4 linked regions of the Diceros bicornis minor genome follow. The protein of the gene in region 1 interacts with the protein of each later gene in a pairwise test. Links are inferred from orthologs where the notes say so. Each region holds a gene or a part of one and is shown in the gene's direction. Other genes may lie near its edges.

Region 1 (6,986 bases):
TGTCACTTTGTCCTCTTTCCTCTGTTCCGTACTCCCCAACAGACTGTGGACTCAACAGGTTGTCCTAAGGTCAGGGACAAGAGGAACAGGGTTTGTTTTGGAACCATCCTGAAACGTCCTTCACCTCCCAGAACTTCCTGTGCCTAGGTCCCAGAACTTCCTGTGCCTAGGTCAGCGAGTCTTTATCAGCCTTGAATGGGTCATTTGGCCTAGTGCCTGGAGGAACTGAGATTAAAAATGGTCTCCAGGACTAAACTAGACTCAGTTAAGAATTAACAAAGCTTGAACAAAGCTTGGGTGGAGAAGTATGTGGGAAGTGAGACAGGCAAGCCTCATCCTGGGGGGAATTGGGGGAGAGAGAGGATGAGGGGGGGACAGGGACACGTGACACGTGTGGAGCCTAATCTCTGTGATTAGTGTGACATTGTCAAGGAGAAGACATGAGGTCAGGATTAGGTTCAGGAGTGAAAAAGCAACCTGACCTGGGAAAAGGGGACTGGGCCCTGAGTCCAAGGAGGTTGGTTCCTAAAGTACTGTCCCTGTGGGAGGGGTTGGAAGGAAAAGGAAAATGTGTGCATTTGAGCAGGAGTGGACTTTTGCTCAAGAGTCGCTGCAAGCTTGAATTACCATCTGGGTTTGCATGACTGAAGGCCCAATTCATATAATTTCCCTTTTCTTCCTACCAATATTCCATCCTCTGACAGAGGGCGTTAGACATAAAATGTGCCTTACTGCTGGTGCCCCCGGGCACCTGAGCTCATTGCTCAGTCGGTGATGGTTGAGTGAATGAGTTAGTTGCCTAGTACAGCCAAGATTTCCCACTGGCACTAGACCCTTGGAAATCCCCTGTTTTGGAGAGGCTATAAAATAGATCTTGTACTAGTGCTCCAGGGACTTAGCCTTTTTGGGTCTCAGGAATTCTCTTGCCAATTGCTTTGGAAATTTGTGGCTACCTGCCAATACCACCACTGCATTCTCTCTAAGCCTAGTCTCCATTGCAGCCTGCTTGCCCAGCACCTCAGGCTTCCCCAGTGAACCCAGATCTCATTTGAAATCTCACAAATATTCATGTCAGCCTCTAGGTCTTGGCTCCTAATTACAGGACTAAATGAAATGCAGCCTACTCCAATTGTATTTCAAAGCCAACATTTTTGACTTGACACACTTAAAATACAACAGATTTTTAAACCTAAGAGGGCAGGCGAAGGAATGGGTAACAACTAGGCAGTAACAAAATGGCTGGGATGACTTTTCAGGTTGCCGGAGGCCCCCTAAAGGGAAAGAAGAGGGGAAAGAGCAGAGAAAGAAAACCCACAGCAGCAGCCAGGGCAACCTGGAGAGGAAGTGGCTTCCTGCCAGGGCCAGAGCCTAGAACTGATGTGGAGACCAGGGACAACGCTGCAACCTTCTACTGACAGCTCCTTTGAAATTAGGATCTCCTAGGACCATATCCTTCAAGTCTCCCTGTGTGCTGATCCCCACACCTTTAAGGGGCAGCCACAAATTTCCATTTCTGTTGGTTCCAGCATCCTGTCTTTTCACCAACGTTTCTCCCCACCATCAGGATCACATTCTGGGCCATAGGACCTCAGAGGAGTCACATTGAAGATTTGGTCGCGTCCATTCTCAGCTTCCAATTACTGTCCTGCAAATGGTTCCCAGAATCAAGATCCACATTCCTACCATCTCTTGGACATTTATTTCCATTGAGATGTGTTACTGTCATCTTAAACTCAGTATGTCCAAACTAAGGTCATCGTTCTTTCCTCCAAACCTGCTCCTCTTCTTGACTTATCCTTCCTGGCTCAAACCCTGGAATCTTCTCTGGTGTCTCCCTTCATCTGCTCCCTCTACTCAGGAAATCACCAAGCAGTCACAGCCTTCTCTTCCAAGTCTGCATCACTTTGCAATGTAGAATTTGGAAGGGACCTTAGACACCAGGCAGACAACAGACTCCCAGTGGAGTCATGGGATTTGCTCAGAGTGATAACACTACTGAGAGGAGGAGCTGGAACCAGCTCCATTGTGCCCTGACCCCCTGCCCATTGCTGTTGCTGACAATGTCTTCTTTCTGCATGTGATTGACCCCCTACCCAAACACTCGTAATCGAAGCTCTTAACCAGTTATCTGAGACTCCTTAATTTTTCCACAATTGACTTCTCTGACTTTCTGTCCTTCTTCTTCCTGATGCAAATAAGAGCTAACATTTATTGAGTGTTTACCATGTGCCAGGCACTATTTTAAATGCTTTACATGTATTAACTTAATCCCCACTAACCTAGGAAGGAGGGTACTATTATTATTCCCATGTCACAGATGAGGAAACTGAGGCAGGCCACCTTCCCCAACCTGAAATCTCTCCCTGCCCCTTGTCTCTGTTCTTCACTCTTTTCCCCCCAACACTGTTCAGATTCTCTCTCTTCCAGCAGCTCTTCTCTGACTCCCCTCAGCAGCCAGCTGTCTCTCCCCTCCTCTTACCCAGAACATGCCGCATCCATTTGTCTGTCCCTCTTGGCACTCTGTCTCGGAACTTGTATCCCATCCCCAGCAGCCCCAGCTGCTCCTCACTAAGTCTTATATATGCTTTGCTACCTGGGCGCCTGCACAGTGCCCTGCACGCAGCAGTCTCGCGTCCTTTCTTTTTTTTTTTTTTCGTGAGGGAGATCAGCCTTGAGCTGATCCGTGCTAATCCTCCTCCTTTTGCTGAGGAAGACCGGCTCTGAGCTAACATCTATTGCCAGTCCTCCGCCTTTTTTTCTTCCCCAAAGCCCCAGTAGATAGTTGTATGTCATAGTTGCACATCTTTCTAGTTGCTATTTGTGGGACGCGGCCTCAGCATGGCTGGAGAAGCGGTGCATCTGTGTGTGCCCAGATCCGAACCCGGGCTGCCAGTAGCGGAGCGCGCGCACTTAACCGCTAAGCCACCGGGCCTGCCCCTTTCGCCTCCTTTCTGTCTAGTACTTCCGCTTCGCTCTCCCGAGTGTCCCCACACACAGGGAGACCTAGTCCAGAAGACAGTGCTGAGGGCCAGGTGATGAAGGGGGCCCAGCTGACGGATTCAGACATCTCCAGTCAGGCCGATGGCTGAATGTGACTGAGTTCCTTGCCTGCTACGGAGGCTATCAGACTTGCCTGCAGGCTAGGGAGTGACTTCCTTTGGCCCTGTATAGATGGGGCCCAGTTTACCTTCCTCCCTCCCCTCCCCCACTGATGGCTTGACCTACACCAAGGCAAGCCTGGGACCCATATTTATTTGGCCTTTTAAGAGACTCTCTTCTTGCCCATGTCATCTCCATGCTTGACAGAAAACTGCTCTCCCATTTCCAGATTCCTTTCTTCCTCTTCTGGCTTCTCTGAATTTCCTGCCTGCCTCAGTGGAGTCCTTTTCCTTCTCCTCCCTGGCCCAGTAGCCCTCTCTCCTCTTCTTCTTTCTGCCAAGTCATTGATCTAGGTATTTAGATTCTAATCTCAGCCCTGTTCTTGACTTGCTGTGTTACTTTGGACAAGTTACTTTCCCACTCTGGGCCTCAATTTTCACATCTATAAAAGGAGGTGGCTGGACTAGATGGTGAGTGATGTCCCGCTGAGCCTACAAGCTCCTTCTCCCTTTTATAGTCCTCCCCTCCTCTCCCCTCTAGGCTCCTCTCTCAGGTCTTCTCTCCCAGGGGAGGCCTGCCGTAGCCCCAGGAGAGCTGTGGCTCCAGCTCCTGTTCCCTGTCTAAGTGACCAGCCCTGGGCCTTTCCCCCAGTGCTGGCCCCGGCTCCACTCCATGTGGCCCGTCTGAGAGGCTGGCCCCAAGCCCGGCGGCAACTCCACATTTCTCTGTTTTTCCTTTTTTTTTCTCTCTTTCCCGGAGTTAACAAGAAGCAGATGTGGCGCACGATGGTTGGAGAGATGGGGGGAGGAAGGGGGAGGCTGGACCGCCAGCCAGACAGGGGGGAAGGGAGAGGAGTGAGCAAGAGAGGGAGGCGAGAGGCCAGGGCCCGCCCCACAGCCACTCTTGTGCCTCTCAACAGCCACAGGGGCAAAGCCCTGTCACCCCCAGGATCTGATCATTGGGGAAAACAGATAGGGAGAACAGAGGAGGGCCAGCTGGGCAAAGGGGCGGAGGCCCAGGAAGCAGCATCTGAGAGGGGCAGGGACCAGGCACAGGAGGCCGGGGGCACAGAGAACAAACTCCCCTCAGAAGTGGAGAAGAGGAGAGCGGAAGGAACCGAGGGAGGGACAGACGGGAGTGTGAGGAGGAAAGAGGAGGGGGAGAGGGGTCAGGCCAGGCGGCCAAGGAGGAGGCGTGTGGCTGGGGGCTGCCGGCAGGAAGCTGGGGACAGGACCCGACCGGCGCTGTCCCTTGGAGCAGCGGCATCCCCCGCACCAGGCAGAGACGCCAGTGGTCAGGCTGGGATGTGCCTCTGAGGGCCACCGCGGAGCGCCCCCACCATGGCCCCCAGCACTTTCTGGATCTGCTACCTCTGCTGCCTGCTGACCACAGCCGTGGGGGCAGCTAGCTACCCTCCTCGTGGTTACAGCCTCTACACGGGGAGCGGCGGGGCCCTCAGCCCTGGAGGACCCCAGCCCCAGAGTGCTCCCCGGCCTGCCAGCCGCCACAGGTAAGAATCTGGGTCCCAGAGGTGGGTGGGAGGGTGAGTCAGAAGGTGGGTATCCGGCCCCTGCCTTGGCTACCCTCTCCAGGGCTGTCTCCCCTAATACAGGGAAGAAGGGGAGAGGAAGCCCACCCATCAGGTGGCTCCTCACACGGCCACCTTCCTGCAGGGCGTTTCCAGGGCCCCCTGAATAGATAGGTCCCTCTGTCTAACCTCAGGGTGATCAGCTCCCATGTCCTCCCTGTGGGACCTGCAGTTAGGTGCCTGGGAAGACTATCCTGAGAGGCGTGGGCCAGGCCTTCCTGCCAGCTGCCAGCTGCGTACCAGCCTGGGATCCTTGGGCAGACCTTTTATCCCTTTCTAGGGCTTCCTCAGCCCCATCCAGTAATCCATGATTCTGACACCACTCTTGCCCTGCTCCTTTCGGCTCACCAGCTGGACCCAGATCAGAGGCCCGCTTGAATGGGGCCAAGAGTGTAGAACTGCAAGCCCTAAGGGTGGCAGGACTCATCAATGGCTTATTCTCCATTTAACCCTGAGCTGGATCCCTGCCTGCCCCATCCTCTCCCCTGAGGGGTGGGTGGAAGCCAGCATCCAGGGTATCACCTGAGGGACCCAGCTAGCCAGCTCACACAGGCCACACCAAAGTGTGGATTGAGACAGAAAGGGACGTGGATGAATGTGTGAATTCAGAGGCTCCCAGGACCCCCCCCAGCCATGAGGATCAACTTCTTGTAGTTGTGGTTTTCCATTCTGCGCCTCCTCTCCCCATCTTGAAAAGTCTTTATCGACTGCTGCCTCACAGGAAGGCGTGGGGGGAGCTGCCACTGCCAGAGCCCTGGCTCCCACTGGTCCCCGGGGGCCCTTCATCTTTTGACTGTCCCTCAGCTCCTCTGGTAGCCCCTGGGCCCTCCTCTGGGGCGTGTGTCTCTGGCCCTTGGGCCCAGGTGGGGTTGTGCCTGCAGGAACTGGTGTGCCTACGTGGTGACCCGGACAGTGAGCTGTGTCCTTGAGGATGGAGTGGAGACCTTCATCAAGCCTGACTACCAGCCGTGTGGCTGGGGCCAGCCCCAGTGTGCCCGCACCATCATGTGAGCCTCTGTGCTGGGGGATGAGTGGGTATTTGGTGGGGGTTGGGCTAGGGCAGAAGGCAGCCAGCCAACTCAGGGAATTCCTACAAAGCAGGGAGCAGGGGGCAGGACCAGGGGCTTCAGTCAGAGCCATTTTGAGGACACGCTGAGGCAACAGTTTGGCTGGTGGGATACTCAGGGCACACCTTTACCTAGGCCACCCTGCCAGCCCCCAAATGCCTTCTCTGGGCTGGGTCATGCTCAAGGAGGGGAGTTCAAGGTTCCAACACAGGACAAGGGGAGGAAGAACAGGGATTTGGCCCTTGGCCAACAAGCTGACAGCTGTCAACTGAGCAAGGCCACATGCTGGACAGTAAGGGGGACTCAGCCTGAGAGACAGGCTTTGCCCACCAGCAGCTGCCCATCTCTGAGGACAGGGGCCAGTACGTACAGGGAGGAGTAAAGAGGCCTCCCTCTGCCTCTCCCAGGTACCGCAGCTTCCTCCGTCCTCGCTACCGCGTGGCCTACAAGACAGTGACAGACATGGAGTGGAGATGCTGTCAGGGGTACAGGGGTGATGACTGTGCTGAGGGTCCTGCCCCAGCTCTGGGTCCTGCACCTACCACACCACGCCCCCAGCCCCGGCCCGCCCGCCCCAACCTCTCTGGCTCCAGTGCGGGCAGCCACCTGAGTGGACTAGGCGGGGAAGGTGAGTATGGGAGCTGCTGGGGAGAGAAGTGGGAGACTGTGATGGGCGAGAAATGTGGGGCCAGGCTGCCGAGGGAAAACCCCCAAGCTCCCAGTCAGAAGAAAGGGACAGAAGGGAGTTAATGGGATCCCTGAGATCCCCTGTCCTCACGCAGAGAGATTGAAACCGAGAGAAAAAAGGCAGAGGAGAATGTGCTCACACACGCCCACATGTGGCCAAGATACTTCCTAGTTGGGAACAGCTGCGGGAGGAAGGGGGAATTCCTTGTAGAAGCATGGTCCAAGGGGATAGACAATTGAGACTACAAGTCCTAGCATGCACTGCAACCAACTACAGGTCCCAGGCCCCTCGGTGGCCTCTGGAGACTGCAGGTCCCAGAATGCAGCCGTCCCTGTTGCCTTCCCGGGCCTGCTGGGCACTGCGGTGTGCTGTGTTTGCCTGCCAGGGAGATAGCCATACTGTCATTATGGAAACAGGAACTTCTGGCTGACTCGCCCACCATCCAGCTAGCACCCCTGCAGGCTTGTTGCAGAACCTCGTTTGTCCCTGTGGTGGTGTGGAGAAGTGCCACCCAGGAATAGCCACTGTTGGGGAGTCCACACTT
Region 2 (6,706 bases), on another chromosome or scaffold:
TCTCTGTTCCTCTTTCCCTCTCTTCTCCCTCAGGAATACCTATAATTCTTATGTTACATTTCCTAATTGAGTCGGATATTTTTGGAGACTTTCTTCATTTCTTTTTAGTCTCAGTTCTCTCTCCTCCTCCATCTGGAGTATATCTGTATTTCCTATCCTCTATAATGCTAATTCTTTCCTCCATATTGTCAGCTCTGTTCTCTAAAGATTCCATGTTCTCCTTTATCTCTTCCATTGTTTTCTTCATTTCCATCAATACTGATTGGTTTTTCTTTATGATTTCAATCTCTTTTGTGAAGAAACTCCTTATCTCATTGAATTATTTACCTGTGTTTTCTTGTATTTCACTGAGCTTTTTTATGATAGCTATTTTGAATTCTCTGTCATTTAGGTTATGGATTTCTGTGCCTTCAGTGTTGATTTCTGGTTCCTTGCCATTTTCCTTCTGGTCTGGTGATTTCATGTACTTTTACATCGTGCTTGCTGTATTCGTTTTGTTTTTCCTCATCCTGGAAATATCTGGTTACAGTTTCCACCTGCTGCCACTATGTGGGGCTCAAGGGCTGTGTAATCTGAGCCTCCTGTGCTCCACCAAGGCTGCTCCGCCATAGCTGCTCCACCGGGGCTGCCTGCACTCTGCTGTGGCTGCTCTGACTGGTCGGCTGAGCTGCACTGTTGGGCATGCAGGGGGGAGTGGCTCTCTCTTTTGCCTGCCAGGTCCCTGGGAGGGGGCTTCTTGCTCGCCCTTTGTTATCTGCTCTCTTGGGGTTCTCAAATGTTGATGGCACCCCTGCAGCATCTGAACCCTCTGTATGTGAGTTTCCCAATGGTTGAGAGAGGCCAAAGAGCTATGGTTTCCCCGCAGAGGGCCTCCTCTCCCTGCTCTCTGGGAGCCATGCAGGCCCGAATCACTGATCTGATGGGGAGGGAGAGGATTTCTCCCTACCTCTCCCCACTTCCTCCAGGGGCCCCAGCACATCCGCTCTCAGATGTGTGACAGTGTGGGTCTTTCTGATGTCCCTTTGTGCTGTGTGAGTGTCCCTTGTTGGTCTATGAATGTCCCTTATGTTGTATCTTATTGGGGGAAGAGTTTACAAGAAAGCTCAGTCCACCATGATGCTGATGTCACTCTGAAATAAATATTTTTAAATGACCATTTAGTCTTCAATTGACTCAATGGTTCAGGAAATAATAATGTGCCCTTCAACATAAAGAGAGAATGATAAAGCAAATGTAGCAAAATATTAACTGGGGAATATAGTGAAGGGCATGTGGGGGCTCTTTGTAGTATCTTCAAAATCATTTTATAACTTTGAAATTATTTCATAGTAATGTTTTTTTAAAAGACCACTTAAATAACAGTGGGGGTCTTTTTTTGTTTCATTTTGGTTTTTTTGCCTATGACACAGATTGCCAACCCTACCTGATATTAAGTATTGTGTAAGGAACTTAAATGCAAGTTCCCATAACTTGCTCCAATCTACTGAACTAGAATCCTCAGAGAAGAGTCTGGGAATCTTAATCTCAGGTGTCTTTTATAATGTGGCAGGTCTAGAAAACATTACTTGATGATCTTGACAACAAATTTTTAAAAATAAATTAAAAAGGACAAAATGAAACAAAAAATAAAATAAAACAAAATTTAAAAAAATACAATAAACCAGGTAATACTCAGTGTTGGTGGACACATGAGAAAACAGGAATGCTCATACATTATAGATGCCGAATTGGGACAACATTTTTCAAGGCCAATTTCTATGGCAATTAAAAGCATCCATAGTCATATACAGCTAGGACATTTCTAGGAATTTAATACCCTCCTGTTAGTATAAAAAAAATCTATGTACAAAGAAGTTCAATCAACATGGTCCCTCATAGTGAAAACTACAAACACCCCAAATGCTCATAAATACCGGAATGGATGTGTGTGCATTCTTTATTTTGAAGGGAAATATTTGGACTGATTTAGAATAAAATGTGAATAGTATATTTATTGAGGCAGAGATAATGCTGATATTGTCCTTCTACCTTATCTGTATTTTCTAATTTTACTGAGGGCCGTTTATGGCACCTTGTGAGCTTGCTCAGTCCAGTCCAGGCTTAAGACAACCTGGAAGCGTCAGAGATTTTAACATTCCCAGGGTAACATCCACCAATAAAGAACCCATGTCTGTGGATAAATACTCCAATTTCCTGTCGTTGAATTGGGATAATTCTGAGGAGCATTCTACATGGCTCCTTAGACTTAGAGGGTCCCCAACAGGATTGGGCCAGTTGTCTTTTGGCCATGTCTATCACTGGTGCTACTTTTGTGTGTGTGTGTGTGAGGAAGACTGGCTTTGAGCTAACATCTGTTGCTAATCCTCCTTTTTTTGCTGAGGAAGATTAGCCCTGAGCTAACATCTGTGCCCATCTTCCTCTATTTTATTTGGGACACCTGCCACAGCATGGCTTGACAAGCAGTGCATCAGTCCCCGCCCAGGATCTGAACCTGCGAACCCCGGGCCATGGAAGCAGAGGGCGCCAACTTAACCACTATGCCACCGGGCCGGCCACTCTGGTGCTACATGTTTAACGAACAAACTTTTTCATCCTAAGATTGTATACAAAATAACATTCGTTATATACTATTTTCAATGGTTTTATGTCTTTTTATCTAAATATTGAGTTAGTAAGTTTAAAACCGGAATAAGGCACTTCATTTTTTTCCAAATAGCTAATCAATTACCTCAGCACCATTTCTTCAATAATCATTTCTTCAATAGTCTAAACTCTCTCCACTGATTCAAAATATTTCAATTAGATTACTAATATTTCCCCATATTTGTGTTTGACAATTGACTTTCTCTTCTGTTTCATTTATTCTATATTTATTCTGGTATAATGTTGTTTTAATATTGTAGCTTCACAATACTTTTTATCTGTAAGCATAACTTTCCAAAATTATTGTTCTGAATTGTTGGAAGACCTCAGTGTTGCTCTATTTTAGAGGCCATGCTGGAGTCTTATTGTAAAGTGAAGTTGCACTAACATAATTTAGAGGAGACCATAAGTTTGTTACAAGCTCTCAAGATTTAAAACTCCACCAGCAAAACTCTGTTAGACTCACTATCTCACCTCATGGAAAAACCACAAAGAGACCCTTTCACAAGGGGAACCACCAGCTTAGGTTTATATTTCAAAGTCCTTAAAAGGGAGAGGAGGTGTTATCTGGAGGGTCTATATTTGTAGGATGATTCAGCAGCAGAAACAGGTTGCCAAGTTTTTACAGCTCGAATCCTGTTTTTCAACTGGAAATAATTGTATTATTTAGTCATAGCAAGCAAAAAAATGAATGCATGCTGATGGGAAACAAAAAAACAATTACATACACCCTCTTAAACATAAAGGGAAATAATTAAGGTGAAAGTTAGGAAAAAAAAGGTCACTTCCTACTTATTTTCCAGATTTCTTAACCTCGCCCCCTTCTCCCGCCCCGGTTGCACTCTGGGACAAGACCTACAAGACTGTTATGGGAAATTCTGGGCTTTACTTGCTGGGGAGTGGAGTGGGGAGAAGTGGGCATTTAATGATATAAAACAGGAAGAAGCAAGTCTTTAAAAGCTCCAGCAGAAATCAGGGAAAAGGCATATACAACCTACAAAATATTATGACCCGTTTGGTCTCGAAGATTGCTAAATAGCAAAAAAAAAAAAAGGGATGTGGACAGTAGCCTGTTGTAGTGGTGGGGCGAGGGCGGGAATGAGGAGAAAGGTGGTCCCGCCCACGCTCCCACCTCCCACTCTTCTGCCGCACTGCAGGTATGAACCGGAATTGGGGATCTGAGCTCGCAGTGACATGGCCCTTACGAGATCTAGAGCCAACCTATGGATTAGTCTCTCCTTCTAGTTGTGATCCAGTGGTTGTTTGTGGCTGTGCGCCGGCTCGCTATTGCCTTGAAGGCGGGCGAGCCTGTAGCCCAGGGAAGGAAGAAGTCGTAGAAGATGACCCAGATCCATGGCAGGTTAGCGGGCTCTGACTGGGGTGCGGGTGGCAGAGGGCAAAGACCAGAGTGGGTTCAGGATTGGATTCTCTCTAGCACTTCCCCGATGCCCACCCGTTTGGTGCAAGAAATGAAGGGCTTGATGGGAGGAGACCGAGAGGGGCCAAGGGTTGAGAATGAGTACCAGTTGGGATCCCCTAGGAGGTGGACGATCAGGCGACATCTGGAAGGGAAGGACCAGAGAAGAGGACGCCGAGGAAACAGCCTGATTCCTGCAGGGCGGCAGGAGGGGGGCGAAACCGGTAACCCTGGGTTGGAGATAATGGACACCGCACGCCTCCATTCCCGGTATCTTTTCTCCACCCTCGTGCATTTTGGAGCCGGAAATGGTGGGCTGTGGGAACCCGGGTGAGGGGCGGTTGCTGCAGAGGATGGGGCAGGGATTAGGTCTGGGAAGCAGGTCCCTTCTGCGGAGGGGGCAGTCGACCGGGCGGACTTCTGACTGAGGGATGAGGGATATAGGTGGGCAGGGAGAAACTGTTTCTGGTCCCTGCAGGCCGGTATAAGGGTGGGTGCTGCTTGCAGACCCTGGGGTAAGCATGACAAAGCGCTGAGACCGCAGCAGGACCAAGTTTGCAATGCCCACACTACCTCTTCGCCCTTCGTCCATCTTGATGCATAAAATGGTGGGCAACGGAAGGAGGGTGGGCTCGAGAAAGGCCACTGGGTCCCAAAAGGTCCTGGTGGAAACCCAGATTGAAATTCTTCATAAATAAACCACATCGCCACCCAGCAAGCTCTTCTGACTTCCCCGCCCCGCAAACTGTCCATTTGCGTTCAAGAAATGGTAATTAGGCAACAGAAGGGACGGGTCAGTGAGGATAAGGGGCCTAAAGAAGAGGTGAAACTGATTTGGAAAAAATCGTCTTTGATTACAATGCCTCTTTCTGGAAGGCGGGGTAGCGCATCACAGGGCTGGAAAAGAAGCCCTGAGACAGGCTAGAGGAGAAAGAGAAGGTGGCAACATTTGACTAGCAGAATCCTAAATCAGCAACGGAGTTGGTGCCCTGGGTACTGGTCCTTTAATCGAGTGATCAGTCTTGGGTATTGTCGCATTTCTGTCTGCAGGTCTTTAGGTCCGTTGGTGCAGCAGATTTCAAGGCTAAGAGAGGAAGATTGCTTCTGATCCCTGCAGGTAGGGGGCTACCGGGGGCTCTCTGGTGTAGGGACATCAGGGATCAGGACAGAATCTGGGGGAGTCACAGCCTTCCCTGCCTGAGTTAAGTACAGCACAAAGCTGGCGAAGTCCTTAGAAACTGTGCGCCTATGGCTGGTGGAGGAAGAAGGGAGTAGAGGGGCAAGCTCTGGGGCGCCCCTGGAGGGCTTATCAGGATCCCTGGAAGCTGAGGCCTGGGTCTCTCAACCACCGCCCGCCCACTACCCATCCTATGTTTTGATGAGAGGAGTGGCCTAGGGAAAGTACTTTCAGGGAAAATGGTGGGCTTTGGGGCAGGGCTGGGTCTGGGGCGCCCCCTGGAGGGCGCACGAAGTCTCTCAGATGGGAAAACCTTTGCCAACAGAACTCTGAATCCTGTTGTTACAGAACATTCAATCCCTCTTCTTGCTTTTTATCTCTAGGAAGAAGAAGCAGGAAAAAATCTCAACATGGAAAATGTCCCCCAGGAAAGCAAAGGAGGGGGGCAGGCCCCAGTGCAGAATGAAGAAGAAGCCCGCCCTTTGGGAGGTGGTCAAGGCCAGGAGCCTGGAGGAAATATTAGAGGGAGTTGGGCTCCACCTGCCCAGGATTTTAGAGAGGATATTCCCAACAGGCTTGTCAATAACATTGACATGATAGATGGAGATGCAGATGATATGGAAAGGTTCATGGAGGAGATGAGAGAGCTAAGGAGGAAAATTACGGAGCTTCAACTGAGGTACAGTCTGCGCATTCTTATAGGAGATCCCCCTCACCATGACCATCATGATGAGTTTTGCCTTATGCCTTGAATGCTGAGGTTAATAGTTATAAACCCTCTGCTTCCCAAACTTGCATTTTCTTGGTGTACTCTTTATCGTGAACCTTTGGTGTTGTGTCACTTTTCTGATTGGAGATTTCATTTTGACTTAGTCTGTAGGTTTTTCTGTCAGCAGGGGAGTTTCATGAACTTGCATGGAAAGATGTTTATTATATATTGTAAAGTTAATAAAGCAGTTTAAAAATTAGTCTATAGATATACTATCTCATTTAAAAGTGTGCATATTATATATATCTGAATGTAGTGTGCATATTATATATATACATCAGAATGTGTTTTTTTGTTTTCTTTATTTTTTCTTGATTATCTGTTTTTTCTCATTTTTCCAAAATGAGTACACACATATTATATGTGTCAAAAGAAAAGTAAGAAGCAAACAACTTGCCAGTCGGTTTATAAAGGGAATGGAGAAAATTAATAAATACTTGAGACACAATTTATACTTGAGACACAATTTAAAGACATATAAATTATATTACCTCTGGATCTCTTATTTAGAAGCACAAACCTGGTAATTATTACAGATACATTTCTTTAAAGTCAGCCGATTCATCTTAAAAAATGAAGATAGGGGCCGGCCCTGTAGCTTAGCAGTTAAGTGTGCGCACTCCACTACTGGCGGCCCAGGGTTCGGATTCCCGGCGCGTACCGACCCACCGCTTCTCTGGCCATGCTGAGGCCGCGTCCC
Region 3 (7,591 bases), on another chromosome or scaffold:
TAACCACATAAGGACTTGCCCCTCTGAGCCCCCAAATACCCCATTTGCCCTCTTCTCACCTTCACCTCCCTCCAGATTCCCTTGCTATCTAGTTACACACCTGGGGCCAGAGAGTCAAGAAGTCTGATAATACAAGAGCATGGATTTCAGAAGCAGATCTGTCTGGCTTCCAACCTGAGATCTGCCAGCCTCTGACCTTGATCAAATATATCTTATTTGAAAAATGAGATAAGGATACATACCAGATAGGTTTGTTGGTACAAGGGTTAAATGAATAACACATATATAGCCTTAGCACAATACCAGTTTCAAAGAAGTTTAGCAAATAACAGTAATAATACATACCCAGCCGGCTGCCAAGGCTTTGCCTTGCTTTGAGGCCCGGCATATGGTTGGCATATTTCCTAGTTCCTGGCACTGACGCCAGTTTCTCCTATTTTTAATTTCATTGGTCATTTCTAGAGAATGTTGGAAGGAGGACATTAGCTAACCGGGTTCTTATTAACATCTGGCCCAGTTTTCCTTTACCTGTTTGGGCCGGCTTCTGTTAGTGTGAGGAAATAAATTGATTTCAAAACACTTCTCTTAAATCCAGCCAATGTATGGAGTAATTCAAGCAGTTCTTCTAGTTCTACTGGATTTTCTAAGAAAGCAATTGAATCTTCTACTAATAGCCATATTTTGTCTCCTTCACAATACGTCTTCTCCTCATTTGCGCTTTATTGCATCCATCAGACCATGGATAATTAACGGTTGTGATGATGTCATCTTTACCCCATTCCTGGCTTAATAAAGAATGCCTCTCTCTTTTCTCCCCTATGTACGTGTGAGCTATTGAAGATAAAAGTGATGATATTGTTAAGGCAATATCCTTTATTTCCTTTACTTCTACCTCTTGGAGTTTGTCGTTTTTAAGTCAGTGATGGCTGCTGAATTTCATCAAATAATAGTCTCAGTATTTATTGAAATAAGGCTATTTTATTTTTGTTTCTTTGACCTTATAACAGAAATGACGGCTAGAGATTTTTCTGGAACCCCACTTGGGAATGAATAGCTAACCAATAATTTATTTTATGTTCAAATTAGTGGATAAAGAATGGACTATGCAATCGGGAGCATTTGGATATTTAGATGTCCACTGGGGAAAAAATTTTGTTTTTAATTTTTCCTCTCCATCCCCCCCAAAAAATCTAGATGGATTAGAGACTACACCCTTAAAAAAACTGAAAACTATTTGAAGAAAATGTTGGAAAATATTTTTATAGCCTTGATGTGAGGAATCATAAGCAAGTTATAAAATCTAGAAGCCATAAAAGAAAATATTGAGAGATTTGGCTACCTAAACATCTAAAACTTCTGTATGATGAAAGACACCACAAAGAAAGTTAAAGACAATGGAAGAATGGAAGGAAACCTTGCCAACATATATGACAGGCATTGGATTTATAATCAGAATATGTAAAGAAAAGAGGAAAAATAGGAAAAAGTATTTGAATAGCCAAATAAAGCTCAACTTCACTCATAATAAATAACGTGTAAATAAAAACAACAAGGTAACATTTTTTCCTCATCAAATTGTCAAAGTTTTAAAAGATAAATATCCAGTGTCAGAGAATGTACATGGCTGCTAGATCTACAACTTCAGGTCTCTCAGCTCCAGAAGCGTTTTATGTAAATAGCGCCCCCTGCGGGACAGCATAGGCTACAATGTGATGGGTGTGTCTTGGAACATTGCGCTGAGGGCCAGGCCCCTGCTAGGTGCTTAGTGAGGGTTTTTGTCTCACTCAGCAAAATGTAAAATGCCCTCTGACTCAATGATTCCTCTTCTAGGAATCCAGCCTTTCAGAAATACATGAGTATGTAATATGTACATAAACATATTTGCAAAAGCATGTTCATTGAAGCATGCTTTATATTGGACAAGAAGGGAAACAAACTACGTGTCCATCAATAGGGGATTGTCTGGACAAATAATGGTGCATCCATTCATGAGATATTTTGCAACCGTTAAAAGGAACCAGGTGGATTTAGGTCTACTAACATAGAATGATCTTCAAGATTTGATGTTATGACTGAGATGAACATTAATGTGAAAACAAATCCCCAAAATATCTATTATTCAATCCCAGGTATATACATTTGTGTCTGAATACATATTAGATAGATAGGGCATGCATAGACAAGGAGCTGGAAGAGTCCACCAAGCTGAGGGGACTAGACTAGAATCGCTGGGCAGGGGGAGTTAGTGATAGGGAGGAGTTTCATGTTTTACTATATGCTTTATCATTTTATGACTTTACCACAACAAGACAGTATTGTATATGTGTTGTTTTTATTGTAAATTCAAAATATTAGGTAGCCCACTCATTCTGAGCTGCAAGAATCTCTATGGGTTTGGCTATCCTTTGACAACTTCCCACCTGAGTAAACTACCAAGGAATGTCCTACTACCAAGTGTGAGAAATTTTTTTTTCCTATTATTATTATTTTGTAGAGGTCATATTGGCTTATAACATTGTGTAAATTTCAGGAGTACATTATTATATTTCAGTTTCTGTATAGACTGCATCATGCTCACCACCAATAGTCTCGTTTTTATCCATCACCATACATATGCCCCCTTATCCCCTTCTCCCTCCCTCCCACCTCCTTCCCCTTTGGTAACCACAAATCTGTTCTCATACTCTATGTATTTGTTTATCTTCCACATGCGAATGAAATCATACAGTATTTGTCTTTCTCTGTCTGACTTATATTGCTTAGCATAATACCCTCAAGGTCCACCCATGTTGTTGCAAATGACATGATTGTCTTTTTTATGGCTGAGTACTATTTCATTGTGTGTGTGTGTGTGTGTGTGTGTGTGTGTGTGTGTACCACATCTTCTTTATCCATTCATCCATTGATGGGCACTTGGGTTGCTTCCACATCTTGGCTATTGTGAATAATGCTGTGATGAACATAGGGATGCTTGGCATTCCTGAAATAAATTGTTTTTCTGAGCTAGCTCATCTGGGCATCCTAATCCCCATGAGTACTTGTTAAAAATTTAGATGCAAGTTTCTATCCAAGATCTGCTGACTCAGAACCAGAATTCCGTGCCTGAGGCAGTTATCTGGAGGACGAAGTGAGAACCGAGGATTAGGATTACGGGTTGGTGTGGTAACTGTATTGGACAATTGCACAGTCGGGAACAGAGAAGGCAGAGAGGCAGCCTTGATCTGCAAGGGCTCCAGTTAGCCTAAGGGGGACCCTTGGTGGATAGAGACGTTCTCCTGGTCTTGGTGGTGAAGACGCTCCACTTACAGCCAGGTGAAACAATCAGGTTCTGCAGCTCTTGCTTTTTGTTTTCACTGAAACTTAACTATTTTTGCACTTGTTGGGTGGGGTGTCCCGTGGGTGAGGATTCCACTATTGTGTTCTAAACTGGAAGGAGGTGGGGATGATTTGAAGTTCACTGAAAAACCCACCCAGGTCTTATTGTGAGCTTGCTTAGAATGGAAAATACAACCCGGTTCTCAGGGACTCAGTATATATTATTATCTAAGGGCTAGTCTACAGAAGCAGCAAAACTGGATTCAAATCCTGACTCCACATTATACCAGCTGTGTGACTGTGGGCAAGGTTCTTAACATCTCTGAGCCTCAATTCATCTGCACAATGGATGTAATGACGTGCCCCTCATGCAGTTGCACTGAAAATCAGACAAGTGGTGTGTGTAGAAGTAAATCTATCAAAGCTTAGCTGCTATTTATTAATATTATGGTGGTTAATAGACTGTGAACTCCTCGAGGGCAGATACATGCGAATAGGAGAATTATTTTCTTTCCTCCCTCCTCCAGAGTTTACCTAACACTATCTAGTACAGAGCTTAAGTATTTGCTGAACACTGATTCTGATCCCGATTCCATTAGGGCTCTGGGCCTTTCATTGCCTTTGAGGCATTTTACAAGTGTGTAAATTGTAGATAGCAATGCAACATAATTCTCGTCTATAGAGATGCAAATTATTCCTGTTATAGGTTCAATTAACTCTCCTCCCTCCCTTTGTGGAAGAAGTCAGTTTTACCTCCTTTTGCACATTAATGTCAATATTCCAGATCTGTGTCTGTTCTTTGGACTGACTGTCACCTCTCACTGATTCCCTCAATAATTGTGAGTTAAAATCTTCAGCACATGCTCATTTTATATATGTATGAAAGTCATGATTTTACCTTTTTTTTTTTTTAAAGTATCTTTTAACATTACTATTACTCCTTTAGCAAAATAGCAAGTTTCTGTAGAAGGCAGACACCACTTCTGAGTCTCCCTCTCAGGGCCAGACGCTGTCATAGGTGGACAGAGAAAAGCTTCCAGGCTGCGAGCAGTCAAGGGTTCAGATCCTGTGCCTTAGTTGTGGGTGACACCGAGGGAGGCAATGCTCCCTAAGCTTCAGTCCGCCGACGTGTGAAATGGGCTCATAACCAATACCTGGGCCCCGGGGGCGGTCGCGTAGAACCCACTCCCCCACCCTTCTCTCTCCCCTTCTGCGCCCCGGCCCCCGGGAGGCGCGGGGGACTCAGAGGGCGGCCCCTTCCAGGCTGGCACGCTGGCCCCTCCGCCTGCGGGGTCTCTGGGCTCCACGCTGCCCACGGGATGCGGAGGGGGCCTCTGGAGGGGGCGGGTTCGCTGCAGCCAGAACGCCGGGAGCCGCCCAGGAATTTTGGCTAGGACTGAGAGCATTTCCTCCCGGGCGGGCCCGGCGCGATCCCGGGGAGGGCGGCTGCGGGCAGACGCTGCGCTGCGTTCGGCCCGGCCGGCACCATGCGGTCCCTGCTCTGCGCGCTGGCCGGGCTCGCCCTGTTCCGCGCCGCGGGAGTCTTCGCCGGTGAGTGGGGCCCGGGCGCGGGGCGAGGGCGGGAGAGCCGCGCAGGGCGAGGTAGGATGAGCAAGAGAGATGGAGGGAGGGAGGAGGAGAAGGAAAAAAAATGGAAACGGAGCTAGATGGGGGCGGGGGGGAGAGAGAGAGAGATGGAGAAAGAGAGAGAGAGAGAGAGAGATGGAGAAAGAGAGGTGCAGAGAGGGAGGGAAAGAGAGAAAGAAAGATGGTGAGAGAAAGCAAAGAGAAAGACAGAGACAGAAAAAGGCAGAGAAATAAAGGCAGAGGGACAGAGAGAATTAGAGAGAAAGAAGAGAGGGACGAATAAAGAGAGAAGGGTAGAGGCCGAGAGAAAGAGACTTTGGAGCTGAACAGATGGTTATGAACTATGAAGGAGGAAAGACAGAAAAAGGAGTTTGAGAGGTACAAACGGAATGAAATAGATGAGCTAACCTGGCAAGAGAAAGAAGGGAAAGGGGAGAGAGAGAGAGAGAGAGGATACTGAGGAAAAGAGAAAGACGAGAGAGAGACTAAAAGAAAGAGAGAGTGGAGAAACTCAATGCCCAAGGAGAGAGAGGAGGAAACAAGGATCCCAGAGTGGGAGGTCAAGTCTGCAGGGTGGGGCAGCCCCCCAGGCCAGCTCCATCCAGAGGCCCTGCAGAGGCGCCCAGGCCTGGTTTTACTGGGTGTTGCCCAGGAAGCTAAACTTCCACAGTCCGATGACCCAGGCCTGGCCCAGCACAGCCAGCCAGTCGGGGTCAGGCAGGCGGGCCCCAGAAGAAAAGCCATCACTTCACCTGCCAGGTGGCCTGAGGGAGTTCTGCTGTCTGGGTGAGGAGGCCAGTCTCCAGGCTTCCAGAGAGCTCTCTGAGGGCCTGGGTTGCTTTGGGTGGGTAGGTGGGAGGAGGGTACAGGAGGAAGAGGTCCTCTGGGTGCTCCCCTTGCTGGGGTCCTTGCCTTGCACTCCCCTCCCTCCCCTCCGCTGACAGCAGTCTTAGTGCTGCCCCTTCACAAGTGAGGCACAGATAGGGTGGCAGCAAATGTACTTACTTACACACAGATGCTCATTCCACACCCCCAAGACTCTGCACCGCACTTGACAGTTTACAAGCCATGTTCCCGTTTACGCAGCATCTCACGCAGGCCTCAGCCAGAGGCAGCTGGCGCTCATCCTGGTTGTGCAGGTGAGAGGAAGGCTCAGGTCTCCCGGTGGTGCCAAGGCAGAGCTCTCACCAAGCATCCAGGCCTCCTGCCCTCTCCTCAGGCCCTTGCCCCCAACCAGGCTGCTCCCCCATCAACCTGGAGTCACCCAGGCCAAGTGCCCTATATTAAGACGGAACCCCCCTCACCCCTGCCCAGTCCCTTTCAGGGCACAGTGAACTGTGGGAGTGAGCTCTCAGGGAAAGGATTGAGGCCAGTGCTGGTCCTAGGCAGCTCCTGGCTGAGTGACCTTGGATGTCACTTCTCATCTCTGAGGCTGTTTCGTCCTCTGTAAGTTGGGGAGAATGATACTCACCCCGCAGAGCTTGCTGGGAGGATTGGATGAGAGGGAAAGTGCCCAGCATGGAACACGTTTCAACACACACAAGCTCCTTCTCTCGTCCCCGCAGACAGCTCCACTGATCTCACTGAGCCTCAGTTTCTCCACCTGTTAGGGAGGACCAACAACCGCTTCCTCACAGGCTGTGAGGAGTAGCTGGGATGATGCCCAGCATAGAGCCCGGCCCACAGGGCATGTCCTTCCCTTTCTCTCCCTCCCCCTTACCCTCCTCCTGGAGTCCCCACATCCAGGAGCTGAGGGGACAAAGCCTCGTCTGTGCTCCCCCAGAGGGAGGAGCTGGCTGCCACCCACAAGTGGCTGACCTTTTGTGGCCCCTTGGCCACAGCTGGTGTATATGCTTTAATTTAAAACTGTTTTTAAACATTTTCTTTCTGATTATGCATGCTCATTGCTACAGATTAAGAAAGAAAAGAGGCAAGTATAAACGTATTAATGTAATTTCGCATTGAGTTCACACATTGTTGTGTATAACCTTTCAGACTTCAGATAATATACCGTTGTTTTTGTTAACTTTTGATTATGAAATCTTTTGGGTGGAAAGCAGAGTAGTATAATGAAGCCCCATGTCCCTATCACCCTGTTTCAACAAGGGTCGATTCCTCCACAGTCCCCACCCTCTCGCCCCTCCCTCAGATTGTTTTAAAGGAGATTACAGGCATATAGATGAAAGATTTATATTTTCATCTATAAATATTTCCTAATGTATCTCTAAAAGATAATCTTTTAATAAACATAACTGTCATACCGTTATCACACCCTAAAAATGAACAATAATTCCTTAGTATCATCAACTATCCAATCAGTGTTCAAGTATCCATTGTGTCATACGTTTTTACATTTGATTTGTTTGATCCAAATAAGGTGCATGCATTGCTTTTGTTTGATATGTCTGTTAAAGTTTCTTTTAATATGTAAGTTTTCTTTTCCCCTTTCTTTCTTAATATTTATTTGTTGAAGAAACGGGGTCATTTGTCCTGTAAAGTTTTCCACATTTAGGTTTTAGCTGATTGTCATTTAAATGTTCCTCTCTACCTTGTATTGCCTATAAACTGGTGGGTAGATCTAGCAGCTTGATCTAATTCCAGTTAGATTTTTTTTTTCCCTGAGAATGGTCTTTATTGCTTTAATTGGCATTTCTCTGATTATTTCTGAAGTTGAACTTTTCCTTCAAAT
Region 4 (7,698 bases), on another chromosome or scaffold:
AAAACAGAATTTTCTGACTGATCAATTATACTTATATGATCAGTCAGTGGCTCAGGCATGATTCCAAAAGATAACATTCCTTATTCTTTCATTTTATTATCATTATTTTACTTGGATTAACTTCTATTTCAATTTTTTTTTTTTTTTGTGAGGAAGATCAGCCCTGAGCTAACATCCATGCTAATCCTCCTCTTTTTGCTGAGGAAAACTGGCTCTGAGCTAACATCTATTGCCAATCCTCCTCCCTTTTTTTCCCCAAAGCCCCAGTAGATAGTTGTATGTCATAGTTGCACATCCTTCTAGTTGCTGTATGTGGGGACGAGGCCTCGGCATGGCTTGAGAAGAGGTGCGTTGGTGTGCACCCCAGATCTGAACCCTGGGCAGCCAGTAGCGGAGCACGCGCACTTAACCGCTAAGCCACAGGGCCGGCCCATATTTCAAAATATTTGATCTATCACAATATTTTATTCACTTATACAAACTTATTCATACTCACTAATATGAAAGCTTATACAAAGGGGTTATAACATTGGGCCCAGAGTATTTGACTCTTACTCTTGTATCTAACCACTACTTAGAAATGAGTATATAGCAAGTACTAGATATAGTCACTGTACTAGTAACTGTAGATGACAGGAAAGAAATAAAAAATGATCTTTGCCTTAAAAGTACTTCTCCAGGTAGGAAGATAAAGCAGAAGAAATGTGCAGGAAAAAAAAATTCTCACCAATGGGTAACAGCTTCCATTTATTGAGACTTACCAATGGCTAAGGCACTGCACTTAGCAGTTGACATGTAGTAGTATCTCACTCACAACAGCCTCATTTCACAGATGAGAAAACTGAGGCAGGGAAACTTCAGTAACTTGAAATTAGTATTGAAACCCACATCTGAGATCAAAACCATGCTCTTAACTGTATAGCACTGCATGCCTGACAGAGTAAGGGATGGGGTACTTATTTTACTTTCCTTTTTTTTTTAATCAGTTGTCTACTATTTTATTTATTTTTTTCCAGCTTTGTTGAGATATAATTGAGGTTGAGATATAATTGACATATAACGTTGTGTGAGTTTAAAGTATACAACATATTGATTTGATACATTTATATATTGCAAAATGGTGTTGATTTAATACACATATATTGCAAAATAGTGTTGATTTAATATATTTACATATTGTAAAATAGTGTTGGTTTGATACACTTATATATTGCAAAAATAATTACCACCACAACATTAGCTAATACCCCCATCACGTCACATAATTACCATTTCCTTTTTTGCTATGAGAACATTAAGATTTACTCTCTTAGCAACATTCCTTTACTTTTACATTTTCCAGTTGCAAACCTCTGGAAAACTAGATGATGTTACATAATTTCCTGGTGTCCCCCAGGGTCTTGCACAATGCTGGGCACGTTCTAAGTGTTTCAGCTTCCCCAAGAATGAAATGCAAACTGGATCACCAAAATCTTGGCAACAGTAGCAAAAGCTTGGTGTATAAGACCTTTTCTAAAAACAAGAGCACAATATAAAGGATATCAGATGGTTTTCTCCTGGTTTGCATACCCACCAAACTTGTGGTGGCTCCGAAGCTGTTTCATGCCTCTGGGATTTTTCACTTGAAATTTTGTCTCAGCCCACCTCATCTAATTTGAAGAATCCACTTAATTTTCACCTCTTCTGTGGAAGAAACGTCTCTTGATCTCCTGAGATTGAGGGGACTACTTTCTCCTTTATGATTTTTTTTGTTTTTTTTTCTGGTGAGGAAGATTGTCCCTGAGCTAACATCTGTGGCAATCTTCCTCTGTTTTGTATATGGGACATTGCTACAGCATGGCTTGATGAACAGCATGCAAGTCCATGCCCAGGATCTGAACCTGCAAATCCCGGGCCACCCAAGCAGAGTGCACGAACTTAACCACTATATCACGGGGCTGGCCCCTTCTTTGTGTTTTGCTATGCCTGGTATCCTACCTCTTCATAGCACACACTGCACTGTATGTAACACTGGTCTGTGTGTGTGAATTTATAGGGAATCTGGGAGGAGTTCATTACCATTTGGTGGAGAGATAAATGTGTAACATAACATACATCTCATATCATTGCGGTATAGATTTACATGAGCTGTCCAAGGCATCTCATATGTGACATAATATTTATTGAGTGCATTATAGACACTCAATAAATAATAACTTTAATATTAAGACATGGTATAATTTAGTGTGCGGAAAGAAAAAGTTTTCCTCTACCCTCTTAGGGTTCCTGGCTGGGTCTGAAAATTAAACCGACAAAGATAGATTTACAGAAGAAAAGCATACAGATTAATATAAGTTTTATATGACACGAGAGTCTTCATAAGGAAACAAAGACCAGAAGAAACAGTTAAATCTGACTATTTTTATGCTGGGTTTGATGAAGAGTGGGCAGTCATGGAGGAATATGATGCGTCAAGGAGCATGAGGTAAGTGCAGTAAACTGGGGGAGACTCAGCAAGGCCTGTTTGTTAGGATTCGTCTCGGCATCCCTTTGTCTTCAGAAATAAGGATGCTCCTTTCCTCCAGGTATAGAGAGGGCACCTCTCACACGAGGGTTTTATGACCTGTTTCAGAGAAGGATGGTGGGAGGGAGGGAAAGGTCAGAGTGACCTTCTTGCTTCTGTTTTCTCAAACTTCTTCAGCTTAAACTATTCAATATGCCAAGGTGCCACATTTGAGGGTAGCATGTCCTGGACCCCATCATTAGTAAAATTACCCCATTAGAAACTCTTCAAGATTTTAATAGCTGCTCCTTGAACAAAAGGATTTAGTGGTCAAATTAGTTCAATAAATTCAAGGTTGAATAAAGTTAAACTTTTTCATGTGTGCTTTAATTTTTCCTGCAATACTTCTCAAAATTCTTTTTTTTTTCTTTTTTTTTTGTGAGGAAGATCAGCCCTGAGCTAACATCCATGCCAATCCTTCTCTTTTTGCTGAGGAAGACCAGCTCTGAGCTAACATCTATTGCCAACTCTCCTCCTTTTTTTCCTTCCCTTTTTCTCCCCAAAGCCCCGGTAGATAGTTGTATGTCATAGTTGCACATCCTTCTAGTTGCTGTATGTGGGGACGAGGCCTCAGCACGTCTGGACAAGCACGCTAGGATCCAAACCCAGGCCGCCAGTAGCGGAGCTCGCGCACTTAACCACTAAGCCACGGGCCGGCCCTGCTTCTCAAAATTCTTAATGTGCTATTGTGCATTGTGACTCTCCAAAAGTGAATTAAGTATGCAGCATAACCTAATCATAGTTGGCCGTAGAATTCCTTCATCTTTAAACACCATAAAACACAGTGTGGAGACACTGATTTTATGGTTGAGAGTAGAGTATGACATCAAAGTCATTACATATTAATTGCTTGATTTGGGGTCACCTCTTTAATGCTTAGTTTCCTCATCTGCAAAATGGGAAGAATACCTATACCTCATACTGTTGTTGGCAAAATAAAAAGGATATTAAATGCCCAGGAGTTCTCAGTAGATGTTAGCAATTAAAATTGTTACTAATATGTCCAGGAACTGACTATTCATCTTTAGAACTCCAGCACTTTGCAGAATACTAGATTTGAAGCTGAGTTGAATTCGTATTGTTACACATGGCTTGGCTTTAGCATGTTGGTAGCCAAAAAGGCTTCGCTACTACCTGTATCCTTTGCCCTTTCACAGGATCTGAGTCAATATCAGATCAGCTCTGTTCTGGCCATGGTCCTGCTCCTTAGTATCTTCTTATAAAAAACAAAAACAAGATCAAAGAAGAAATGAGGTTGAACTAAATAACCTCTCAATTTCATGCTCTCTAAATTTCTAAGGTAGAACGACATTAATTCTCAACTTGTGACAGATGAAGTTTTTGTACTTTCAAACTGAGCTGATGAGCACAAAAGCCCTTATCACGCACCACTTGATTTTTTTCACTTAATTCACTTTTAACTGATTCCTATCACTATTCTTGATCTAAAGGAATTTGGCTTTTGTTAATCTGTCATTTTAGACTGCTATATCGGTTATTACATATGAGTATATAGCATTATACACTAGAAATCATTTTGATGCATCTCCTTCCTGACCTCTATTTACCAGCAAGTACAGCTGTGGGGTGGTTCTTGGTGTAGAATTAAGAGACACTGCAGTTCTTGAAATAAGCCAGACGTTTTTATTTTCAAAGGAAAAGATCACACCTAGTGAAGCATTTATTTACAAGCTTCACAACAAAACAAAAGATTGTAAGACAATTTTCAAGGGACGTGGGTCATAGAAACCAACTGAACACCACAGCTTTCCCAACCTCATGGCCCAGAGGACGCTGCAAAAGACACACAGACGAGCTGATCTTGTGCTGGTTGTAAAAATTTGTAGATTAAGGTTATAAAGACAATAAATTACAATGAGAGTTACAATCTGGGGAGAGACGCCTGCTTTGACGTTATTTTGTTTCAGTCCACTTTTCCAACCGTATGTCCAGTAATATACACACACACACAAGAGTGTTTTTTAAGACATGTCCTGAAATTAGTGTTTATGGACACTTCAGGAAAACTTTTGGGATAGATTCCCCCAAAACAAAAACAAAACAAGCAATTTTTAGAAATCGAAAGTGAAAATGGTTATAACTTGTTAGTGTTTAACCAGTTACTGGAGACACCAGGTTTGCTATTCCGAGCGGTGGTTAGTTTTTTCACTAACCACTACTTGAGCACAGTTTTCTTTTCCTTTTCTTCTTCTTCTTTTTTTTTTTTTAAGGAACAAGCTGTTAATCCGAGTGACACCCACTTGCAACGGCACCTCGGATCTCCCGAGGCGCTTCTGGATAAGGCAGCACCAGCCTCGGGGACCTGGGACATCCGGCGCCGACCCCCGAGGTTTCCCGGAAAGGCGGGCGCGCTGGGCCCCGCGTTGCGGCGCTCGACGGGCCGAGGCAGGTGAGTGGGGCTCCCGGTTCCCCGGCTGCCGTCCCTGCTCCTGGTAGCCCCGGGCTACCGAGGCCCTGGGTCGGGAGCGAGGCGCATTCCGCGGCGCCAGGGACCGCGCGCAGAAGGCGGCTCTGCGCCCCCCGCGCCCCCGCGCCCCACCCCCCGCAGCCTGGGTCGCTGTGGCGACAAGCTGCCGAGAGGGCGCGCCTGCCCCTGCGCCCACGGTGCCTTCTGGGTGCCGGCCAGGCCTCTGACCCCGTCTCCTTGGTGTGCTTTGCTTCATTCTGGAAACTGAAACTTAAAACCACTGTGTTTCCTCAACGTTCTTCTAGTGTCTCCCGAGATAGTTCTTAGGAAAACTGATGCCTTGAGATTTACTCTCCTTGGCAGGCGCAGGGTTTGGCAGTCTTTCCTCACGTTTCAGAATATTCAGGGTTTTTCTTGAAAGAGACATCCAAAGGAGAACACCATGTTTCCCTGTCTGTATAACATGCATAAGTTTTTTTAAAACTATATATGTTTATCACTATTTTATTAATTACCACCTCCTGCCTTCCTTCCCCTCGTTTCCTTTCTTTTTGCTGCCAGATATGGGAAGATTGGATTCTATCAGGCCTGCCACCGCAGTGATATGAGTATAGTAGGAAAACAGGTGGTGGATAGATGGTGGTGATTTGTATTGGTTTTTTCATTCACTACCATAACAAATTATCACGGATTTAGTGGCTTAAAAACCACAAAGTTATTATCTTAAAAATCTGCAGGTTAGAAATCTGACCTGGGTCTCACTGGGCTAAAATAAGGTGTCTGCAGGGCTGCCTTCCTTTCTGGTGGCTACTGGAGTAAATCTGTTTTCCTGCCATTTCCAACTTCTACAGGATGCCCACCTTCCTTGGCTCAGTGGTACCCTTTTTCAATCTTCAAAGCCAGCAGCGTGCCATCTGACGATTATTATGTTGTCACATCTCACTCTGACTCTGCTCTTCTGCCTTCCTCGTTCACTTTTAAGGACCCTGGTGATTACATTGGGCCCATGGAAAATTCAGGATGATCTCCATATTTTGAAGTCAGCTGATTAGCAACGTTAATTCTCTTTTGCAGTGTAACCTAACATACTCACAGATTCTGGGGATTAGGATGTGGGCATCTTTGGGAGGGTTGTTATTCTGCCTACGATCTGATTGCATAAAAGGAAGCCTATTACTGTACATCCCGCTGATGCAAAGAGAGGACAGTATTGAGATACTAAATATGTTGCAAAAAGTTCTGGGGGTGTCATGTAGTAGACCATTTATAAGAGTTAAATATATTGAGAGCCTTTATTACAAGCTCTTAAGAATATTGACTTTAAAAAAAGCAATTAAATAATGTTGCAGTTTTTGCTTTCTGGAAATGTGATAAGAGAACTTCATATGCGTGGATGTCCTGAGCAGAACAACTACCTGAGTCAAGATACTGCACGATTCTCTAAATATTGAGTATTTTCAATGTGTAAGCTCGTATTGTGCTCTAAATGGATGCAAGGAGGAGTAGACGTGGTCCCTGGCCTCAAGGTCGTGACCGTCTAATCATGGAAAATGACACAGGTACACAAATAAGTAAAGCTCCCCAAAAGAGGTAAAAGAGGGAGAACTAATGTCCCTTGGGGGAATCAGAAAAGGCTTCAAGAACTTGGCAGAAATTTGGGATGGACCTTGAAGAACAGTAGGATTTCATTAGGTGGAAATTAAGGTTGGGAGGGGTGGAAGGATGAGACATATTGAGGGACAAAAGGGAGAAGAGGGACCCTTCGAGTGTTCAGTGTGGTTAGGAGACTTAGTCTAGGAGTTGTCTAAGAAAGACTAGAAAATAAATTGGAGTTAGATTGTGTAAGACCTTGGATGAATGTTGGAGGCCGTCATAAGGATTCTGCAGTTGTTGATGTAATAGGGAGCTACTAATATATATGTTTTGAAACCATCTCAAACTTACAGAAAAGTTGCAAGTACGATACAAACAACCTTTCTTTTTCCTGTAAGTTTCCAAATTCTTGAGTATACGTTTCCTACAAAAAAGGTATTCTTTGTATAACCACAATACAGTGATCAAAATCAGGAAATTAATATTGACACATTGCTGCCATCTAATCCTTGGATCCAATTCAAATTTTGCCAGTTGTCCCAATAATATCTTGTGTAACAAAAGGACACAGTTCAGAATCATGCATTGCATTTAGTTGTGATGTCTCTTTCATCTCCTTCTGCCTAGAACAGTTTCTCAGTCTTTCCTTGGCTTTTTTGAACTTGACACTTTTGAAGAGAACAAGCCAGTTTGTCTAACGTTTCCTCATGCTTAGATTTAGATTATGTATCTTTGGCAGGAATATCATAGAAGTCATGCTTTGTTCTCAGTGCAGCCTATCAGATGGCAGATGATTTATCTCATTATTTACTTTGATTATTTTATTCTGGTGGCATCTGCCTGGCTTCTTCACTGTGAAGTTACACATTTCCCCTTTGAAATTAATAAATATTTTGTGAGGAAGGATTCTGAGACTAACTAAATGGTCCTTTCCCCACCAAAATTTCAATTTATATATGTCTGTATGTATGTCAGTATGGACTCATAGTTTTCTATTTTACTCAGTGGATTTAATTATTACTGTCATTATTTATTTTTATGATTAATTTATTCTCAGATTTGTCCAGTGAGAACTTCCTCAAGCTGGATTTTCTGTCTTTTTGACATGTTCTCATCATTCTTTGAGCACTTTCTT

The links.
Region 2: the proteins of EMILIN1 (region 1) and BEX5 interact in binary tests that used the Homo sapiens proteins (3 or more experiments, as listed by UniProt). The two-hybrid records come from large-scale screens. The link is inferred for Diceros bicornis minor from reciprocal best matches to the Homo sapiens genes EMILIN1 and BEX5.
Region 3: the proteins of EMILIN1 (region 1) and PLAC9 interact in binary tests that used the Homo sapiens proteins (3 or more experiments, as listed by UniProt). The two-hybrid records come from large-scale screens. The link is inferred for Diceros bicornis minor from reciprocal best matches to the Homo sapiens genes EMILIN1 and PLAC9.
Region 4: the proteins of EMILIN1 (region 1) and NMI interact in binary tests that used the Homo sapiens proteins (3 or more experiments, as listed by UniProt). The two-hybrid records come from large-scale screens. The link is inferred for Diceros bicornis minor from reciprocal best matches to the Homo sapiens genes EMILIN1 and NMI.

What each region holds. Positions count from the first base shown.
Region 1 is NC_080751.1:55,738,314-55,745,299, reverse strand, and holds the start of EMILIN1 (EMILIN-1), read left to right. Parts: upstream 1-3,974; 5' UTR 3,975-4,439; coding exon 4,440-4,609; intron 4,610-5,568; coding exon 5,569-5,694; intron 5,695-6,161; coding exon 6,162-6,382; intron 6,383-6,986. UniProt on the Homo sapiens protein: Involved in elastic and collagen fibers formation. It is required for EFEMP2 deposition into the extracellular matrix, and collagen network assembly and cross-linking via protein-lysine 6-oxidase/LOX activity.
Region 2 is NC_080781.1:94,976,832-94,983,537, forward strand, and holds BEX5 (protein BEX5), read left to right. Parts: upstream 1-4,201; 5' UTR 4,202-4,330; intron 4,331-5,110; 5' UTR 5,111-5,177; intron 5,178-5,620; 5' UTR 5,621-5,647; coding exon 5,648-5,989; 3' UTR 5,990-6,188; downstream 6,189-6,706.
Region 3 is NC_080745.1:27,688,162-27,695,752, forward strand, and holds the start of PLAC9 (placenta-specific protein 9), read left to right. Parts: upstream 1-4,577; 5' UTR 4,578-4,802; coding exon 4,803-4,866; intron 4,867-7,591.
Region 4 is NC_080749.1:35,229,367-35,237,064, reverse strand, and holds the start of NMI (N-myc-interactor), read left to right. Parts: upstream 1-4,685; 5' UTR 4,686-4,952; intron 4,953-7,698. UniProt on the Homo sapiens protein: Acts as a signaling pathway regulator involved in innate immune system response.